Oryza sativa Japonica Group: one gene and its partner. The main gene of each other region encodes a partner of the protein of the gene in region 2 in a complex. Links are inferred from orthologs where the notes say so. Each region holds a gene or a part of one and is shown on either strand. Other genes may lie near its edges. The genes, in order: condensin complex subunit 2 and structural maintenance of chromosomes protein 4.

Evidence for each region.
Region 1: structural maintenance of chromosomes protein 4 (region 2) and condensin complex subunit 2 share a complex: the UniProt entries of both Arabidopsis thaliana proteins name them as parts of the condensin complex. The link is inferred for Oryza sativa Japonica Group from reciprocal best matches to the Arabidopsis thaliana genes SMC3 and EMB2795.

Annotation. Positions count from the first base shown.
Region 1 is NC_089035.1:19,820,927-19,823,437, reverse strand, and holds part of condensin complex subunit 2, read right to left. Parts: intron 2,390-2,511; coding exon 2,236-2,389; intron 2,155-2,235; coding exon 1,898-2,154; intron 1,823-1,897; coding exon 1,792-1,822; intron 814-1,791; coding exon 671-813; intron 1-670. UniProt on the Arabidopsis thaliana protein: Regulatory subunit of the condensin complex, a complex required for conversion of interphase chromatin into mitotic-like condense chromosomes.
Region 2 is NC_089039.1:24,530,289-24,534,683, reverse strand, and holds the start of structural maintenance of chromosomes protein 4, read right to left. Parts: upstream 3,035-4,395; 5' UTR 2,699-3,034; coding exon 2,564-2,698; intron 1,408-2,563; coding exon 1,318-1,407; intron 738-1,317; coding exon 636-737; intron 551-635; coding exon 374-550; intron 195-373; coding exon 64-194; intron 1-63. UniProt on the Arabidopsis thaliana protein: Central component of the condensin complex, a complex required for conversion of interphase chromatin into mitotic-like condense chromosomes.

The DNA of each region.
Region 1 (2,511 bases), on a different chromosome or scaffold from region 2:
AATAAATTTGCAAGATACACTTTTATCGTTTGTTTGGATACATTTATTGTGCCATAAAAATCAGCAGCATAGATGTCCACCACTACGAACAGCCAACTCATGTCAAGCCAGATCAGGCATGTAAACCCTATACATTTGCAAAAAGTCAAAACGCCCTCCTTTTTTTTGGAGGGGAGTCAAAACACCATTTGTCGTACAGAAAATATAACAGAACTCTAGGGACTGTTCAGTACCCAAAGTATAAGAGTTAAATCTGCACTGACTTGGCATAAATTTAACATATATTGATGGGCATGTGATTCTGCTTTCTAGGAGGCCACAAATTAAAGTTTATGGGACAGACATCAATATACATAATGTTAAAGCTTGAATTAATTACTCCCTCCATCCCAAAATATAGCTACCTGTCTAGTTCAAGAACTAGAAAACTAGAAAGGTAGCTATTATCTCTGCATTCTGTTTACACAATTTCTTTTGTGTAAAGTTATTCTGATGTTATAGTGCTTTTTAGTTACTACATTCAGATCTAACCAGCTTTAGTATTTCAAATGGTGTCAATTGCAACTTTGTACGAGCGCCCATCGAAATATCAATACAGAACCAGACTCCAATATAAGCACACAAAACCAAAATGTCTAACAAGGGAAGGCAAAAGAAAAAAGGAGCGCACCTGTCTTGGTTTGGTAATAAGATCTACTGCATCCTCTACATCGGTATCACCATTTCCTTCATCGACATGATCATTACAAAAATCATCACCATCCCAAGGTTCAGATGGGATGAAGTCATCAGTATTCTCCCTTGAACCACCTACTAGAGAACAAAGGTGTTCTGTGGTTAACAAATGTAGGAAAACAATTCTATATAAATAGAAAGGCATTAACAAGAACAAAGGCTGTCCATACATACATCAACTTGCCACACATTAGCAAACAGACATAATCTAGTATGAGAATAGTAAAGTTCTTCTCTGAAAAGGGAAAGTCAATTTGCTACCTAATAGCCAACATAAGTATCACATTACCACCTTTCTTGGAGTTGTGCAGAGCATTCTCTATAAATAAACCCAGTCCTGAACTTTATACTTATTTGCATTCCACAGTTTCAGATAATAATACTCTAACATCATACGATTCACAGATTGTTTCGTTTAAGTATTTAAGTAGCAATATGAACTTACCAATATATCAAGGGTTAATTGGATCCATGCCATTACAAATTTGTTGTATTAGAAAAATGCCACTATTATTCGTCATATCGGCTGGTGGTGGTCACCGCTCATGCCTTGGCCTCTTGGGGAGGAGCAGCAGCAGTAGCAATAGCAGTGGAGAGAGATGGGGAAGATGAGCTGCTGCTGGTGGTGGTCGCTGTCCACGTCCTGGGCAGGAGCAGGAGCAGTGGCAGAAATAGCAGTGGAAGGGAGAAGAAGGAGCAGGTAGAGGAAGAAGAGGAAGAAAAAGGAGAGGAGAAGAAAGGAAGGAGAGTCTGACAGAAAATATAACGGTGATGGCATAGATCTAATTTTACAAAATTATAATGGCACTCAGCCGATATCACGAATAGTAGTGGTATTTTTCTAATACGGTAAATTTGCAATGGCATGAATCCAATTAACCCATATATCAAATACCAAAAGGAGCTGGAGGAAAGTAACACAGGTAATATGAACAGGGAAGATGTGATAAATAATTTAAGAACCTTCAGAATTTACAACAGGACTTCAAGATATAATAACAAGGCAACAAGAAAACTTCATGTGAAATACACAATGCAAGAACATAGAAAACTTACCAAGTGGTTTTTTCCTTCTCCGAGCCAGACACTACAAAAAGATCCATAGTTACTATAACCACCCCAGATCCATATCAAGAAAAAAATTATAAGAAATTGCCATTACCAAAACATCCGGAAGAAGGAATAATTTAACAAGGCTTTCAGGTCTATAATGGCAATCCTCTGGAAGTTTGTTATTGCTGGTAGCCCTATTTGCCGGCAGCAGCAATGATTTTGAATTCTTAGGAGGTGCAAAGATATTTGGCATATCATGTTCCAATGCTTTGCTGAAATCAATGTCAGGTTCATCCTTGCCTCTTTTCTTCTTTGTCTTTTTTGGGGCGTCTGAATCATCAGGTTTAGTTGGGACAGGGTCCAAATCTAGTTGAATGTAAGCCCAAAGGTTAGATTAAACAAGCCTGCCTGAAACAAAACTAAAACAGGACTATGTACCCATAGTACCTTTAGCTTTTCGATATTTCCAATGCTCAGGTCCTGCCCAGGCATTTGTTTTTGCAGAGAATCCCATGCCAAATGACAAGAAATCTGCAATTTTGTCAATTCTTTCATTTACATCAAGACCTTCAGCAGACTCAAAAGTGTACTCATCAGTTTCCTGCAAAAAAATATACCCTCAGATATTTATACTTCAGAAAACAAACAAATAAACCATAATTTGAACTGAGTACTTCAGACATTTCAATCAAAGAAATGTCATTGGATGGTGAATGAATGGAT
Region 2 (4,395 bases):
ATTACAGAATGGACAGAAAGCACTCATTGTGACAACAGGCCTTAAATCAGTTAAAGAACTCACTGCTTGGAAGCTTCTTCAATTTTCTCAACATACTGATTTGTCCCAATGATGTCTTCCAGATATTCTAGAAACCCCTCATCATGTGGACCTTGAGATTTTGGTTTCATCAGGGAGATTTGTTCAACCTCACCCTGAAAGTGCCCAACTTGGAAGTTATGCAGTGCAAAACCATAAAATATAACACCATATGGATGTCTGTTATATCCCTCATAGTCATGTAAACATACTAAATAATATGCAACATATGTCCAAAATTAAACTTACAAAACACGCGCATTTTTCATGTGTAAATGGAAAAAGAAACACAAACCTGAAGGATCAAAAAGCGATTATTATCAAGGTCAACTCCTTTGCCCTTCAACAGTTTAGTTACTTCAGTGAAATTGCTTCCACGGTCGTTTATGTAGTATTTAGAAGTGTTGTCACGGAAAGCAACTCTTGTGATGATAAAATCACTGCCCTCAACAGCCCTGTAGTTCCCATCATCCTATGATGGACATAGAGGGAGGGAAATAAATTATGTGGCACTAGCTAAGCAATATGAAATGCTAAATACTTGGCTCAAGAAATACCAAATCAATGATTTCTTGAAAATGGACGGAGACCCCAGCACTGTCTAGATTCTGGTGGTTAGAAGAATTGTGTATGAGTTCTGAGACCTTGTTCAGGCGCATCTACAATGATGGAAAACTGGTCAGAAACAGTCTATGATTTGAAACAACCTAAATAGGTTGTTCTGAATTAAGAAAATATGGAGTAGCTAACAAATAGCAAGATCATCTCTCAAGAGCTTAAGTTATTCGTGAATTTTATAGCATTTAATCCAAAACTTTTAAGGAAAAACCTTTGGAGGAAATGGGCAATAGTAAACAGGAAATACAAGGGCCCCATTGTATTCAAGTATTAAATACATTTCTCTTCAATAACTAGTTTACTATCATGAAAGTACCATTACACTAAATTCTCAAAAACCTTTGGGCAGAGACTTTGAAGCTTACTTTTCGCCTTGCATACAAAATCAGTAACACACTAACAAACATAAAGTAGCAGTTTGTTGCCCAGCCTTTAAAAACATTGGGAATAACTTACACTTACATGCCAACTTTGGCATCTAGCACTCGCTGAATGGATAAAAAAATACAATGACTTTTTGAGATAGAATAAATCAATGATTAGCTTAAATCTGCCACTGAGCTGACCAGAAAAATGTTGAACATCAATAAACATTTACAGTTAGGAAGCAATATTGCCCACCTGTTTTGCACGCTTCCCAAACACAAACAGCATCGCATCAATGACATTGCTTTTCCCGCTGCCATTTGGCCCAACAACAGCTGAGAAACTCTGAAAGCAAGAAAAAGCGGTTATTCTTTTATACGATGCATGGATCCTAGCGACAGAGTGGTAGACCTATGTTCATAAGAGCTTGAAGCATAGTGCACTCATCGATAGTACCTATAAACAGTTTATAATGATATTCTGCACAGAACACGATGGTTACACACACAAGAATTGTGAATTCTGCACAGGTCACCATAAAAACACGATTATAAAGTTAGACGGCATTTCTGGAATGTAAGATGTGTTACTACTCACAAATCATAGTCATTTGGCCACTTAAATTGATGCACTTGAAAATCAGTAAAATTTAAAATTATGATAAACGTTGCTTTCCTTATATCTTAGGTACTACAGAACAAGTGAAAGTTAAACTGCAGAAACGACATTCTGAGGATAAAAGAGTTAGGTCTGAAATTTCAACGTATGAAAGGGCAAATTCAGATAGAAGCCATAGAACTGAATAAGGAACCTCCATTTCTGGGTAGAACAAATGCCATTAAACCATGTGACTTACTCTTCATAATAAAATATCTCCAAACAAAACAAAGTGAACCCAAAACATACTACTGATGGAGTATGACCATGCCACTCTAAAGTTTCAGAACAAATGTAAAACCAGTGCACAACTCAAAAACCTCCACTCTAATCTAACATTCGTGAGACCAAAACTAGACCAACAAATTCAGAACCTAATAAACAAAACGTCACATAGGTTCAGAACCTAGTAACAATGCGCGTATCGGTATTTCACTTCATAAACTAGAGGCCAGGCAGAACGGCCACACTGAAGATAACACGAATTCCTAAAAATGCTATAACACGGTTTTTAACTTATTTAGGATTCTGTAGGCACTGGGAAATGGAAAACTCAAATGAAAGTATACGTGGTCACCTCCTACGCTATCACAATTGAAGTTAAATTGCTATATCCAACTGCCGTGCCTAGGGTTCAACGATCGTACAGGTCAAGTAAAAAAAGCAAGCCCACCACATGACATTGCAGCTGGAGGGTCCTGAATAGCGCCAAAAACAAACGAAAACCGGGGATTGGTAGTGGGGGAATACGTCATCTATGACTATGAGCGCGACGAATTAAGATATACTGTAGCTAGCTTGCGCGCTCGTGTCGTGTGCTTGCGAGTGAGAGAGAGAACGAGACCTTGTGGAAAGGGCCGATGCGCTGCTCCCCTGCGTACGACTTGAAGTTGCGGAGGACCATCTCCTTTATGAACAGCCGCGGCCTCCCCGCCCTCCCTGGCGAGGGCGCGGGTGACCTCGGCGGGGAACTCTCCATGCCTGACCGCAGCAGCAAGGGAGGACCGGACCGCGAGAGCCGCCGCCGCCGCCGCCCGCCCGCCGGAAGATCACTCGCCCAGCAAGGGCGGCACCGGCTGAAGGGGGGCGGCTCGAGGACAAAGGCGACCAAGCGGTGCGCAACTCGGGACGACGGCGACCGCGCGCGCGCAACTCCGAGCGACGGCGACCGGGCGGCGCGGGTGCTCCGGGCCCGACGAAGGCCGCGGCGGTGGAGGCGCGCAGATCTCGGGCCGTCGGCGGTGGAGGCGGAGGCGGTGGCGGTGGGGGGATTTTGGGGAAAAGTCGAAGCGGCCGAGAGGGGAATGTGGGATTTGGGAATTTTGGGCGAAAATTTGGGAGGGAAAACTGAAACGGCGAGAGGATTTTCTTCCTCCCGCTTCGAGCAAATGTGTCAGACCAAAAGGAAGACTCTGGAGTTGGGCTGGATTACGAGCGATGCGCTGCTTTCGTGTGCGAACTTATATGGGGCTCATGTTGGGCTGATTTCTGGTCGGCCTTCTGCTTCGGAGAAAGTTCACTTCAGGTTCCTCTTCTTGTCATCGAGTTTTGAAATTGTCCATGAATTGGAAAACCAGATATAGCACATCCCTAATATTATAAAACTGAGGCATATTAAGTCCCAAGCCAGTATTGATAATGATTTTAGTTGATGTGGCGGCTGAGTCAGCACGGAACCCACATGCCAGTGGCCCAATCTTCTTCTACCTCTCTCCGCCTCTTTTCACATCTCTCTCCTAGCCTCCATGAGGTTGGTGGTGGGCGATGGCCGAACAGGAGAGGTGCGGTGAGTTGACGGGGCTGCAAGGAGCTCAGTGCGGAGGTGGCTTGATGCGTCGGCGAGCTCCCTACCACTGACACCACAACGCCTTGTGATTTCACGCGGCTATGATCCTTGCACCGCTGCCACCACAATTCACCTCTGGAGACACATCCTTTCTCTACTACTACGGTGGGTGTCCCCTCTCCCTCTCGTCGAAATTTTTCGGCCCTTCTCCCTCCATCGTCTCCCCTCACCACTGCGCGCGTCTCACTCAAACCATTCGCCGTCAAGGAGTACCTCGTCGACACCTGCGGCCTCACCCGAGCCCAGGTATGCAAGACTTCAGAGAAGTTATCCCACCTCACTACCAGGGAAGCACCATTGTAGCTGGAGACAGCAGCCCTACCTCAAATGGCTCTTCCGGCTTGGGGTGTGACATTGCAGCAGGAAAGTGGCTCAAGGTCGACGTCGCCCGAGTCATCGTCGTCGCAGAACTAGAGCGACATCGAGATGAGAGATAGTGGGTGCGGAGGTAGAGACAAGTGCTGTGGCAGTGGGCACGGAGGCGGAGGCTGGCCCGGACGTGGGCACTGCGGTGATGGAATCACATTAGGAGCGGAGGGAAGAGAGGGACGGTGATTATTTTTTTTATGACATGTGGGTTCAACACTGACTCAGTCGCCACGTCAGCAAACCGCTCTAAATATTGTCTTGAGACAATGAGACCCATTGTAACCCGGTTTTAAAATATTAGGGATACATTATAATTGGTATTCCAGTTTATGGGCGATTTTGAAACCTAACGGTAAGATGAGTGACCAAGTGAACTTTTTCCTTCTCTTTTTGGTTGAGATGCGCATGGGCTGTTCGGCCCAGGCAGACAGATAATACATAGAATGGCTTTAATAACGTCT